Linked DNA regions of Callithrix jacchus. The protein of the gene in region 1 interacts with the protein of each later gene in a pairwise test. Links are inferred from orthologs where the notes say so. Each region holds a gene or a part of one and is shown on either strand. Other genes may lie near its edges.

Region 1 (5,066 bases):
GTGGAATAGCAAGTAGGTAGAAGAATTCTATATAAATGCCTAGCGTGACCTAATGCTTTTTTGTCAGGACTTTTTCTTTGTTGTTATTAGGTTTGAATTGCTAGCTGAAGGTCTAATAAATTGCAGTTTGTTTCATAGAAAAATTGTAATGAGTCCTACTCATAGAGCCAGTTCTTGATTATTTATAAGTGAATTATGCAGCAACCTTTTTTAAAAATAACTTTTTGTTATGGAACATTTCAAACATTTACAAACGTACCCATCATCCACTTTCAACAATTTCTCAACTCTTTGCTAATCTTGTTTTGTCTTTATTTTCCAACACCCCACCTGCCACCACACACAAAAAACTGGAACAGTTTAAAACAAATCTCAGACAGGCTGGGCGTGGTGGCTCAAGCCTGTAATTCCAGCACTTTGGGAGGCTGAGGCGGGTGGATCACGAGGTCAAGAGATCGAGACCATCCTGGTCAACATGGTGAAACCCCATCTCTACTAAAAATACAAAAAATTAGCTGGGCATGGTGGCGCATGCCTGTAATCCCAGCTACTTAGGAGGCTGAGGCAGAAGAATTGCCTGAACCCAGGAGGCGGAGGTTGCGGTGAGCTGAGATCGCGCCATGGCACTCCAGCCTGGGTAACAAGAGCAAAACTCCATCTCAAAAAAAAAAAAAAAAAAAAAAAAACAAATCTCAGACATAATTTAATAAATATTTAAGTGTTTTTTCTAAAAGGTAAGAATTGTGTTAAGTCATAACTCTAATTTTATCATCACATAATTTGGAGTAGTAATTGTAATGTTTGGATATATACATTATATATGACAATTTAAACTTTTAAAAATCATTAAAGATTGGTGTTACTTCTGCAAAGTTACTGTGAGTATGTTTAAAATAATCGTGGGAGGATCTTCTCAGCCCAAAAGCTTCTTAAGCTGATAAGGAACTTCAGTAAAATCTCAGAATACAAAATTAATGTGTAAAAATTGCTAACATTTTTATACACCAACAATAGTCAAGTCGAAAACTAATCACAAACTCCCATTCACAATTGCCACAAAAAGAATAAAATACCTAGAAATATAGCTAACAAGGGAGGTGGAAGATCTCTACAGGAACTATCAAACATTGCTCAAAGAAATCAGCGATGAAACAAACACATGGAAAAACATTTTATGCTCATGGGTAGGAAGAATCGGTATTGCTAAAATGACCATACTGCCCAAAGCAATTTATAGATTCACTCCTATTACCATTAAACTATCGTTGACATTCTTCACAGAACTAAAGAAAACTATTGTAAAATTTATATGAAACCAAAAAGAGCCCGAATAGCCAAGACAATCCTAGGGAGAAAGAACAAAGCTAGAGGCATCATGCTACCCAACTTCAAACTATACTACAGGGCTACAGTAACCAAAACAGCATAGTACAAAAACAGACTCATAGACCAATGGAAGAGAATAGAGAACCCAGAAATAAGACCGCACACCTGCAACTATCTGATCTTCAACAAATCCGATGAAAACAAACAATGGGGAAAGGTTTCCCTATTTAATAAATGGTGCTGGGATAACTGGCTAGTCATATACAGAAGATTGAAACTAGACCCTTTCCTTACACCATATACAAAAATCGACTCAAGATGGATTAAAGATATAAGTATAAAACCCAAAACTATAAAAACTCTGGAAGACAACCTAGGCAATACCACTCAGGACATAGGCATAGGCAATGATTTCTTGATGAAGATGCCAAAGGCAATTCCAACAAAAGCAAAAGTTAGCAAATGGGATTTAATTAAACTAAAAAGCTTCTACACAGCAAAAGAAACTGTCAGCCAAGTAAACAGACACCCTCCAAAGTGGGAGAAAATTTTTGCAAACTTATATCTGACAAAGGCCTAATGTCCAGCATCTATAAAGAATTTAAGCAAATTTATAAGAAAAAAACAACCTCATTAAAAAGTGGAAAAAGGATATGAACATATACTTCTCAAAAGAAGGCATACATGTAGCCAATAATCATATGGAAAAAAGCCCAACATCACTGATCATTAGAAAAATGCAAATCACAACCGCAATGAGATACTATCTCATGCTTCTCACAATGACTATGATTAAAAAGTCAAAAAAACAACAACAGATGCTTGTGAGGTTGTGGAGAAAAAGGAAAAGTTATACGCTGTTGGTGGGAGTGTAAGTTAGTTCAACTACTGTGGAAGATAATATGGCAAGTCCTCAAAGACCTAAAGACAGAAATACCATTTGACCCATCAGTCTGATTACTTGGTATATACTCAAGAGAATATAAATTGTTCTGTTGTAAAGACACATGTATGCATATGTTCATTGCAGCACTATTCAAAATAGCAAACATAAATGCAATAGCAGAGACATCGAATCAACCTAAATGCCCATCAATGATAGAGCAGATAAAGAAGATGTGGTACATACACACTGTGGAATACTCTATAGCCATAAAAATTAATGAGATCATGTCCTTCGCAGGGACATGGATGGAACTAGAGGTTCTTATCCTTAGCAAACTAATGCAGAAACAGAAAACCAAATACTGCTTGTTCTCACTTATAAGTGGGAGCGAAATAATGAGAACCCATGGACATATGGAGGGAAACAACACATATTGGGGCCTTTCAGAGGGTGGAGGGTAGGAGGGAGTTCAGGAAAAATAACTAATGAGTACTAAGCTTAATACCTGGGTGATGAAATAATCTGCATAACAAACCCTCTTGACACAAATTTACTTGTGAAACAAACTTGCACATGTACCCCTGAACTTAAAAGTTTAAAAAAATAAAAATTGTGGGAGGAAAACATTGAAGTATTTCCTGCATATTTTTGCCTATGCAGAAAAAAGCTGTGGTGATTCGTCACTTGTATATTGAAGATAATGTTAACATTCCGGAGGATACGTTAAGTGCAGTAACAGAGGTTAATGAAGCAGTTACTGCGTCTGACTTAAATGCTGCCGAAATAAAGATGCCTGAAATAAAGGTTCCTGAAATCGAGGCTGAGCGACAGGTAACAATTTCGGACTTTTTAAATAGATACGAATATTTCTTACTTAAATATTTCTAGCCTCTAAACTTTGGAATATTTCTAGCCTTTTGAATTATTAATCATGATATTTTACCTATGTTACAATTACTTAGTAAGTCTTACTAAAAATAATTATTTGCTGGATATGTTTAGGGTGCTGGGCTAAGTGTTGGAGTAATGCAAAGTAGAATAATATATGGTACTTGGCTTTAAGGAATCTACAATTTAGTGAGACATTTTCTTTACCACCTATTTTCTTTACTGGTGAATGGAAAAGATTGGCACTTTATTGCCTATTCGTTTTCCTTTCTGGGTCCTGGCTATTCTTTTCTGCCTCTCTTAAGGTGCCATTTCTATTACTCTTGATTGCCACAGACCTCAATATATGTCTGATCTCTAATGTTCCTGCTAAAACTTCTTTTTCTATGCTTCGATGTCTTGTGACTTCTATAGATCTCAGTATATCAATATATAGTTGTCACTTACAGAAACTGCCAGATGGCCATTGGACCTACTTCCTGTTATATGGAAAACTGAACAATCTCAATTCACTAAGTGTTGTTTTTGGTCATTTCTTCTTAGCTTTGTGCTAGGTGTTGTTTCAAGAAGCTAGTTAATAATAGTTTTATTACCTGGTATTAAGAGAATTATGCAAATTAATTCATCACAAGAATCATATGAAGTAGATACTGCTCTTACCTCTCTGTTTCTTTTTTTTTAAGATGAGGAAATGGAGGCATCAAGGTCATAAATTTTCAGAACTAGTTTAAGTGGCCAAGTAGTCTCCATCCAGAGCTAACCCTCTTGACTCTCAAGCACAGGACTGTCTCTCCTAACTATTGAGATAACACAGTGGAAGTGGGAATACATTAATTTTAAAGGAAATTCAGTTTGTATAATTTTATTTTTAATCTCTCTAACCTTTTTAGGATATAAGTGTTAATCCTGAGATTACTGCACTACAGACTATGCTTGCTGAATGCCAAGAAAATCTTAAGAAACTAACTTTGATAGAGAAAAGGTTAGACTGTTTGGAACAAAAAATGAAAGGAAAAGTGATGGTGGATGAAAAGACATGGACGAATCTCCTTAGTCGTGTTACTCTTCTTGAAACAGAAATGCTTTTGTCTAAAAAGGTATTTTCTTCCTTTAACATGTATAAAATATCTCAGGTATAACAAAGTATTTCTTTGTTATATGTACGTTATTGGGGGAATGCTAAGTATGAGAATATTTCAGTGATGAGTAAATGCCTAGTTAGAATGAATTCCTGTTTAAATATAGCCTGTATGTTATTGTGGCTATTTCTCTCTTCATTGAATAAGGTAATCTGAAAAACTTGTAAGTTGAACTTTTACAGATAATAATAATACTTGAAGAACTTAAAATAAGGGAAGAATATGATAGATTTTATGAAAAGCCTAATATTATTTTATATCTTTTAATAGTACAGATGACCTATTTTCATAGAGTAGAAAAGATACAGAAGATATTGATAACTTTTTTCTTTTTTTCTCTCATTTACTTCAATCATATTGTGAATTTCATAGACAAGTTACGAAATTTACCATTGCCTTATCAAATCTGAGGAATTTGTTTCTTTTTCTCAGGATTTCAATTTCTGGTCTGTCTTTCCTTCTTAGAAAGTAAAGTTGATAGATTCAAGAAGCTTGCTGTCTGCTTTTATATTTAAAACATTTCTTATATGTGGAACATACAGTATATGTATTGCTTTATAAATACAGAAATTAAAAATATTTAAACATTTATTATGCTATCTTTATATTTTATGCTTGGTATTAAGAATATAAAATGAGGGGTTTTCCTTTGGCTTCATTCTAAATATTTAACTGTTATTTCAGAGTGATGAGTTTAATGAAATTAGCGAAGACTACACTTCTTGTAGCAACATGAATCTTCTGAATCCTCGTAAGTTTGTAAATACTATTAGAATTTCTATAATGAGTTTTCAGAAAAATAATTATTATAGGTATTTGGTAATTTT
Region 2 (4,062 bases), on another chromosome or scaffold:
AGAAATGTCTATGAGGTAGTCTACCTGTTTTTAAATCAGATCGTTAGATTTTTTTCCTATAGAGGTATTTGAACTCCTTATATAGTCTGGTTATTAATCCCCTGTCAGATCAATAGTTTGCAAATATTTTCTCCCGCTCGGTAGGTTGGCTCTTCACTTTGTTGATTGTTTCCTTTGCTATGCAGGAGCTTTTTAACTTGGTGTGTTCTGCATTTTAAAGCTACCAAGTTTATGGCAATTCATTATAGCAGCCATCGGGATCTATTACAATTTTGGTCCCTGGAAGTGGGTTGCTGCTATAACAAATATCTAAAAAGTTTGAAGGGGCTTTGCAATGGGAAAATATCTATGGACTGAATAAATTTCAGGAGCATTATAGAACAACTCTAGATTACGTTGAGCAGACCATTAGTAGAAATAGGAATATTCAAAGCACTCCTAGTGAGAGCTCAGATATGAGGAGCACAGTAGAGAATGCCTATGTTATCCTAGAGAACACCTAAATGATCGTAAACAAGCTATTGATAGAAATATAAATGTTAAAGGTGTTGCTGGTGAAGGCTTAGAAAGAAATTAGTAACATAATATTGGAAAAGGGAGTTTGTGTTATACAGCAGCAGAAATCTTAGCTGAATTATGCCCTATAATTATGTGGAAAGCATGACTTGTAAGCAATGAACTTGAATATTTAGCTGAGCAGATTTTCATGCAAAGGACTAAAGTAATGGCCTGGTTGTTGTTGTTGTTGTTGTTGTTGTTGTTGTTGTTGTTTTTTACTGCTGCTTATAGTAAAATGCTAGAGGAAAGACATAAAGTGAGGGAAGAACTGTTAAGCAAAAAGAAACCAGGATTTAATGATATAAGAAATTTTCAGCCTATCCAGATTGCAAAAGACACCAAAATTAGTGAATTCACTGCCATGAAATCATCCTACAGAAATAAAATCAAAGGCATGGCTAGCCATTCTTTTGTTAGTGCCTTTAAGGGATGAAAAGACCAAAGTATTCAATCACACAGATGATGTTTTGAAGAGATATGGGGTGTGCTTCTCAAATATGCAAGGAATAGAGACGGAATTTTCTGAGAGATCTGTGAAGAAGACTCTGTCTAATGGCATGAATCCTCATGACATACATAAAACACATGTAAGTTTTTGAGAATGTTATATCAGCAGAAACAATGCCAGCTTAGACTGAAAGAAAGAAATAGAGCAAGAAATGAAAGAAGGCTATAGGACTCCCAAAATTTGACAGGAGAAAGCAGGCTGATAAAACTACTCGGCTGTAAACACATGCTACCATTCAAAATAAAGGAAAAATGACTGAGGGCAGAACCAAGAGACCAGAGGGAAGATTTATTCCCCCAGGTGAAGTTACAGGATCAGAGTGATCAGAGGGAGGGGTCTCAAGCTGTAGACTATTCCCAGGCCTTGAAACCTAATGGTTAGATTTTGAAATTGTTTGGATTTGAGACTATTTTCTTTCCACTATTTCCCTTGTGAAATGGCAAAGTTATTGGCTGTAAATGAACAAAACTCAAAGGGAAAACACAGAATTAGCAGAGAGTAAAATTAAATAATAGAAAAGAAACAACTCTTAGTGCTTTGGCTTCACCTAGGAGAGACAAGAAATACACATCTGGGCTTAAACTGAGCACAAGATGCACTTCTCCATCAACTATGTTTACCTGGCACTGACAGGTATTGAGCATCTTATTATTAATTGCAAAATGATTAAAAAATATTTTTCAAATAGAGTAAAATCATGACACTCATACAGATATGAAATGAACATATACTAAAAGAAAAGGTTATTATAACAGGTTCAAAAGGGAAACCAAAGAATTGATATGGGAATATTCATCAGGAATATTAAATGATTGTGTGTAAATGGAGGTAAAATTGGTTTCATTAGGTGAAGGACAACTGAACCTCTACTGAAGAATATATCATCCATGTATCTGTGGCCTACAAGTAACAAAAACCTATGCAAGATTTCAGAGATAATGTAAGGCTAGAATCAGATAATTTGCAATGATGTCCTAAAGATAGAGCAAAGTTTTCCACTGAAACACACATTTATTTTTACAATGTCAAAATCAGATAAAAAGTTATAGTTCTCTCAAAATCAGGATTCAGTCATTAGGGTGACTAGGTCAGTGTCACAGACATTTCTAGGCTGAGGTCTGCTCAGGGAAATTCCAAAGTCTAGGATGTCACAAAGGCAGCTAGCTCCCTGACCAATCAGGGCCTGGAGCAGAGAGATACAATGGGCAGGACTAAGTGCCAGTGTCCTTGGAGACCTGCTCAAGCAGGAGAATCAAGCATAGCTCAGCAGAGCCAGACCAAGCAAACATAATGTCAGAAACAGAAAACTGTAAGAACTCCCCTACAAATAACAATCAGAATCAAGAACCTTCAAGAAATGAGCCACAGGTCCCTAGGACCTTCGTTGACCGCCTTCTTCAGGATGAACGAGATGCCCAAAGCCAGACTTCCTCCATGATAAATAGCCTCCTTACCTTGCTCGATTGCCTTGGTGACTTCATCATGGAGCAGGTAGGCCTGGAGGCCAGCCACAATGACAGTATGAACAACACTTCACAAGATGCGGAGAGAGAAGTGGACAACAACCGTGAGCCCCACTGCCTCGAGAGCGATATAACCTGCTTTCTGTTGGATGGGATGCCCAAATCCGAGAAGAATGGCTGAAGACCGAGTTCCAAAGCCTGGAAGGGATCCTCTCAGGCTTAACCAGGGCAAAAACATATCATAGCTGAGGAATCCCTGCTGTTGTCATCAACAAGTGCTATTAAAGGATGTAAATCCGTGAGTATGTTTCTGACTCCACTTAGTTTCCGTCACTTTGGGTTGGAGGTGTTTGTGAGACATCTAGGAGAAGCTATTCCTAGAGAGCTGAAGGGGTGTAGGGGTGGCCAGTGTGGGGAGTTTTGAATTAATGATTTTAGAGGGGGCAGTCTCCAATAGTGACTATGAGGTCACTGGCCTTTTGGGGAGGAACTGGCTGGGGTAGACACAGAGACTTCCTCATTGCCTTGGAACAGGAAGGCCTTGTGAGGCCAGGGGGTTGGCTGGGGACCTCTGAGGCTTGTTGAATTCCCAGCCTGATGCTGGGGCCTGGGGTGGAGCTGCAATCTCTGACTGAGGTGCTGGAGGCTTCATTCAGGATAGCAAAGGTCTGAAGTCAGATGGCGGCGGTCACAGAGGTGGATGGAGAGGGGGCACACTGGCTGGCATGAACTTAATGGGACAGGGGCTTTACATAGACATTGAGGAGTGAAGGAAAAACCATCACGAAAAATGCATAAAAGAAATGATGGCCTGCTGGATTGCATTTCTTATTTCTTTATACCCTCCCTCATTATGAAAGAGGACTTCAGGCAGGGATTCGTAGCTACTGCTGTGAATATATCTTTCTGTCCTCTCTTCAGGACACTGGTAAACTAAATCGTAAGATTACATAGAACCTATGATCTGGCATAAAATGGGCAATTCAAGAAGATTTTAACGGGTGTTAATTATTGATTAATCTGCTTAGTTATAAATGTATTTCATTTAAAGCAGGATTAACAATCTCATTTTTAAATTAAATACCTATTCATTGTAATGACCATATATTGCATAGAACACCAAAGAATTATCAGTGACCGAATAGAGGTTTAAAGAGGTATAGATATAATTCTGTCCCAAGCAATGGCCTCTAAAGCACAGGCAATCCTTCTCAAAACTTCCTGCTCTGTGCTAAGTTTAAAAAAGGTGTCACATCAGGTGTTGAAGCCATATGTCCCCTTGCCCATGGTTGTCCACATGTTAGGTTTTCACCTGGTCCTTGGGTCCTCTGGGGCCACAGTCTGCTGCCTGCTGGTGTTTCACAGATGGTTGGTCAGGGGCTGCCCAGCCGGTTTCAAAAACGGGAGCTGAGTGCCTGGTTTCAGATCCCAGTTCGCCACTTTTTGGCCATGTGATGATACTGGACCTTCATTTCCTCCCTCTGAGCTGATCTCTTCATGTGTAAATGGGGTAATAAGAGTTCCTCCATATGT
Region 3 (5,531 bases), on another chromosome or scaffold:
TCCAACTCCTGATCTCAGGTGATCCGCCTGCCTCAGCCTCCCAAAGTGCTGGGATTACAGATGTGAGCCACTGCACCTGGCCTAGAACACCCTGTTTATATGGAAACCTATCAAGGCCTGATTTATATGGTGCTTCCTCAAGAAATTTCCAGAATGCTTTTCTAGAAATAATAAGGGCCTTGGTTTCAGGACACCTGGATTCTAAACCTTTTTGAGCCTTAGTTCCATCATTATACTAAAGTTGAATATCCCTTATCCAACATACGTCGGACCAGAAGTGTTTCGAATTTGGGATTTTCTCAGATTTTACCGGTTAAGCATCCCTAATCTGAAAATCCAAAATGCACTGCTTTTAAGTCTGTCACTGAGCCTTTGGGGGAAATATTTAATATCCTAACAGCCCTAAACCAATGCTCAATTAGTACAACAATTTACAATCTTCTCTACCCACAGCCTGATGCTAGGCTCTGGGACTAGAATATTTCACCAACAGTTCTTGCAAAATTCACTGACTTGTAAGCAAATATTAATTTCAACACCTCACTGCTAATGCTGTAACAGAACTCTGCAGACCTAGGGAGCAAGTACAGATTGCAGAGCACTGGGAAGGCTCTGCAGTGACCTTTGAACTGGGCCTCAAAAGATTTTAAGTTTGACAAAAGCCAAACCTCTTATGCTTCAAATTCCAGGCACAAAGATTGTTGGGTTTGATTTCATTATCCAGAGGCAACGGGGATACAGAATTTCTGATCTCACGTGTAGAGAATTGTGTTTTTTTTCTACTTTAAACCCAGTGAGACTTTAGTAGACAGTGGGGCAGTCAGAGAAAAGGCTCTAGAATATGCCTGAAGCCTTAACTCAGCACCTTCCTGAGGAATTGACTGCCAAATGGTAAAGGAGAGGGGAAAATATGACCTATGTTCACAAGTTACCTTGACTGCCTCTGGAAAACCTGCTGTGGTGGTGTTTCTTCTGGGTAAAAGACAAGGTAGGCCGGGAGTGGTGGCTCACGCCTATAAACCCAGCACTTTGGGAGGTCAAGGCGGGTGGATCACGAGGTCAAGAGATCGAGACCATCCTGGTCAACATGGTGAAACCCCGTCTCTACTAAAAATACAAAAATTAGCTGGGCATGGTGGGGCGCGCCTGTTGTCCCAGCTACTCGGGAGGCTGAGGCAGGAGAATTGCTTGAACCTAGAAGGCGGAGGTTGCGGTGAACCGAGATCGCGCCATTGCACTCCAGCCTGGGTAACAAGAGTGAAACTCCGTCTCAAAAAAAAAGAAAAAGGGAAGCCGAGAAGTTACCTGGGTGCTGGTGTCAGAGTTAACAATTCTGAATCCGTTTTAACCACTCACTATCGATGTAACCTTGGAGAAGTTACCCAGCCTTTCTCTTTACTGTCCTTTTCCGTAAAATGGCGCTAACAGTACTTACTTCAATGAGTGCTTATGAGAATGAAGCTATTAGATACCGGAAAGCACACAGTAAGCGCTCAAGGAAATTATTGTTATTAAACACCTCCTTGGGAAGAAGGACATTAAGGCCCAGGGAGCCACAGCAAATCCATGATGAAGCTGGGACTGGAGTAGGGGTCTCCTGGGCCTCATCCCAGGACTCTATCCCTCTTCCCGATTCGTCGGAATTCCTGGATGGAGTCACATTTGTTCAAGGCCAGGGAAGAAGGCTTGACGGAGGCCTGCAGGAAACAATGCTAGGCGCAAGGCTTTAGGAGCTGAGGCATAACTTCTGCGAGATAGAAACAAGGTTGACCTGGGCATTTGCGCGGAATGACGGGCTCTTTTTGGACTCCCAGAACTACTGCCCCGTCTGCACTTTGGGAGCTGCTGCCAGCCCCAGCGCACAGAGGGACGCGTAGTCCTTTCGCTGCCCCGCCCTCAGGTCCCGCCCGCCTCCAAGGCCGCCCTCGCTTCGTCCTTCCCAGCAAGCTCCGCGCCGGCGCCGGCTATTGATTGGCTGCGGCGGGTGCAGGCTGCTCGCCGGCAGTGGTTACTCGGGGTTTCCGGTGGAGGCCAGAGCTGGAGAAGCCGTCGGACGTCGGTTGTGAGGTGCGTGCCGCGGCGACCGGTGGGAGAGACAATCGGAGGGTGTACGGGCCGGGATGTTCTCGGCCTGTGGGGAAATCACGGCGACTCCGCGCGTGGGCCGGGGGGCTGTCTAGGGCGTGTGCGCATGCGCGGGCGTGCCTCGCGGCTGGAGGGCGCGCGGGGCGTGGGTGGCTGCGCGCGCGGGGGGCGCACGTGGGTCCTGAGGGGCGGGGGCGGCGCCGCGACTCCTGCGCCCCGCCACGTCAGTCTCCGGCCCCGAGCCAATCCCGCTCTCGGCCTGCCGTGAGGGGGTTGGTTGTGCTGGGAAGTGGCTCCGAGAAGAAAAAGAGGCCTCTTTCCTCTTCCGTTGCGCTGCGAAAGCCTGCTACGGCACACCGGGCTCCCCTGACCCGCCAAGACCGGAGAGCCGTTGGCGCCCTCCGCCGGGGCCGGCCGGTCCGTTTAAGAAGCTTTGGGCGCCTGCTGTGGGGATTTCTGATCCAGACTGCGAAGAATTTCGAAGTCTGAAAAATTGCAACTGTGTTTGTTTCTAAAGGATCTCCTTCTGACCCAGCATCGCTCATCACAATGAAGAACCAAGACAAAAAGAACGGGGCTGCCAAACAATCCAACCCAAAAAGCAGCCCGGGACAACCGGAAGCGGTACCCGAGGGAACCCAGGAGCGGCCCAGCCAGGCGGCTCCTGCGGCAGAAGCTGAAGGTCCCGGCAGCGGGCAGGCTCCTCGGAAGCCGGAGGGTGTGTGCCAGCTCTGCATTGCCAGCGGGCAGGGGGAGGAGCTGTGCGCCTGGCCTCACTTCTGGATTTAGAGGCCGAGGCCAGGTTGTGCAGAGGAGGAGATGTAGAATGAGAGGGCAGTGCTGGGGCCGCGGTCCTTCCGGCGCCCTGGCGAGTTGGTGAGCACAGGAACAGAGTTCTCTTCTCTGGAGAGAAGCTCTGACAGGATTAAGTCAGGTGGCAGCCAAACGAGGCACCCAGTCAGGAAATCCAGGTCCTGTTAGAAACACCTCAGCCACCAACAGCTAACTGCCCTTCCTGGATTGAGGCATTTCTAGAACAATCTGAATGGCAAGAAGTGGTTGGTGAGGGGGGAAGGAGATGGACTAGAAGTTGCTTCATGCCAGCCCTGTGTGCTGATGCTTTACATACTTTTATGTTTGTAACCAACATGTTCGGGTGATAGTAAGAAATAGTTGTGTCATTTTACAAGTAAATAGACTTAAAGAGGTTGAGCATCCATTACCTGAGTCTGGCAAGAAAAAAAAAAAAGTTGCCGGGCACAGTGGCTCACACCTGTAATCCTAACACTTTGGGAGGCTGAGACGGGCAGTTCACCTGAGGTCAGGAGCTCAAGACCAGCATGACCTATACGGTGAAACCTCATCTTAAAAAAAAAAAAAGTTAAGCAACGATGACTATAATTTCTTTTAAAAGATGTTTCGAGGCTGGACATGGTGGCTCACGCCTGTAATCCCAGCACTTTGGGAGGCCAAGGCAGGTGAATCACCTGAGGTCAGGAGTTTGAGACCAGCCTGACCTCCATGTTGGAGAAACCCTGTCTCTACTAAAAATACAACAATTAGCTAGGTGTGGTAGTGCATGCCTATAATCTCAGCTACTCGGGAGACTGAGTCAGGAGAATCGCTTGAACCTGGGAGGCAGAGGTTGCAGTGAACTGAGATTGCATCATTGCACTCCAGCCTGGGTGACAGAGTGAGACTCCATCTGGAAAAAAAAAAAAAAAGTTTTGAATCTAAATTCTGACAGGAACTAGATTTGCTGTCTTCTTTCTCATTCTTTCCTGCTTTAGGGGCACAAGCCAAAACAGCTCAATCTGGGGCCCTCCGTGATGTCTCTGAGGAGCTGAGCCGCCAATTGGAAGACATACTGAGCACATACTGTGTGGACAATAACCAGGGGGGCCCAGGCGAGGATGGGGCACAGGGTGAGCCGGAAGATGCAGAGAAGTCCCGGACCTATGTGGCAAGGAATGGGGAGCCTGAGCCATCTCCAGTAGTCAATGGAGAAAAGGTACCCTCCAAGGGGGAGCCAGGCACAGAAGAGATCCGGCCGAGTGATGATGTGGGAGACCGAGACCACCGAAGGCCACAGGAGAAGAAAAAAGCCAAGGGTTTGGGTGAGCAGAGAGTGGCTCTTTGTGCAGCTGGTGAGGGGAGGGAATTTGGACTTGATGTTCTCTGGGCAAGTCTGTTCTGCCAGGATTCAGAGGAAATGGTACTTCTCAGAGCAGCAAGTCACCCTAGTCTAATCAAAGCCAGGGATGTGGGAGTCACACATAGAAAGATGCAGGGGTTTCCAGCACAAGGTCTTCTGGCTTTTGGAGCAACGGGAGGTTGATGTGTGACCTGCTCTTTGAGACAATGGAGAGCAGGAGGTCCGGGTAGCCTCCTGTGCCAGCCAGTACTACCTGCCTTGTGACCTTGGGTGTGCCCCTTCTCCTCTCTGGGTCCTAGTTTCTACTTCTGTTTACAGTAAGAAAATCAGACTAGCCCAGAGTTGGAAACCCAAATGTCTACATAAGCTGGGCTGCCTATGGGGCTCCATGAAGATAGAGCCTACTTTAGCCAAAGGCTTTATTGCTATTTAGTTAGTTGCTCTTAACTAGGCAGCAGCCAGCCTTTTTTTTTTTTTTTTTTTTTTTTTTTAAGAAAAGCCAGAAATCTAGATCTCTAGATTTTTTCATAGTTAGCAGCTAAAATGGTAGGAGCCAAACAAAACCCATCCGTGGGTTGGATTTGGCATGCATGCCAGTGAATTGCAGTCTCTGTGCTGATCTCTTGGGCCCTTCTGGGGAGGCAGAGGGAAGGCTCCCTGACTCAGGCACACAGAGTGGGAAATAGGCAGTGACAGTCATTTGATGGTAAGGTATATATGTTTTAAGAATTTAGGTCAGGCATGGTGGCTCACGCCTGTAATAGCAGCACTTTAGAAGGCCAAGATGGGTGGATCACCTGAGGGTCAGGAGTTCAAGACCAGCCTGGCCAACATGATGAAACCCCATCTCTACTAAAAATACAAAAAGTAGCTGGGCATGGTAATGCACGCCTGTAATCCCAGCTACTTGGGAGGCTGAGGCAGGATAATGGCTTGAACCCGGGAGGCAGAGGTTGCAGTGAGCCGAGATCCTGCCATTGAACTCCAGCCTAGGTAACAGGGTGAGACTCCATCTCAAAAAAAAAAAAAAATCTTAGGATCACATATATGGAAAGTATCTTCATTTTAAAATTCGAGGTTTGTCTACTCTGTTGATAAGAGTTTAGTGTTTCTCAAGGAGGCTAAGATACTTACTCCTTTTTGGATCCTACCTCTATCAAGAGGGTGGGCCTTCCTTGCATTGAAACAGTAGCCCTGAAATCATAAGTGGGACACACTTCATCTGTTGGTAAAGCAGGCAGTTTTTTTCCTCCCACCATGGTGCCCAATAAGGAGATTTCACTAGGGTCCA

Evidence for each region.
Region 2: the proteins of CEP44 (region 1) and H2AP interact in binary tests that used the Homo sapiens proteins (3 or more experiments, as listed by UniProt). The two-hybrid records come from large-scale screens. The link is inferred for Callithrix jacchus from reciprocal best matches to the Homo sapiens genes CEP44 and H2AP.
Region 3: the proteins of CEP44 (region 1) and TXLNA interact in binary tests that used the Homo sapiens proteins (3 or more experiments, as listed by UniProt). The two-hybrid records come from large-scale screens. The link is inferred for Callithrix jacchus from reciprocal best matches to the Homo sapiens genes CEP44 and TXLNA.

Annotation. Positions count from the first base shown.
Region 1 is NC_133504.1:16,816,987-16,822,052, reverse strand, and holds part of CEP44 (centrosomal protein of 44 kDa), read left to right. Parts: intron 1-2,872; coding exon 2,873-3,043; intron 3,044-3,990; coding exon 3,991-4,197; intron 4,198-4,923; coding exon 4,924-4,990; intron 4,991-5,066. UniProt on the Homo sapiens protein: Centriole-enriched microtubule-binding protein involved in centriole biogenesis. In collaboration with CEP295 and POC1B, is required for the centriole-to-centrosome conversion by ensuring the formation of bona fide centriole wall.
Region 2 is NC_133524.1:38,777,106-38,781,167, forward strand, and holds H2AP (huntingtin-interacting protein M), read left to right. Parts: upstream 1-2,295; 5' UTR 2,296-2,356; coding exon 2,357-2,710; 3' UTR 2,711-2,831; downstream 2,832-4,062.
Region 3 is NC_133508.1:68,784,415-68,789,945, forward strand, and holds the start of TXLNA (alpha-taxilin), read left to right. Parts: upstream 1-2,000; 5' UTR 2,001-2,067; intron 2,068-2,602; 5' UTR 2,603-2,634; coding exon 2,635-2,803; intron 2,804-3,875; coding exon 3,876-4,202; intron 4,203-5,531. UniProt on the Homo sapiens protein: May be involved in intracellular vesicle traffic and potentially in calcium-dependent exocytosis in neuroendocrine cells.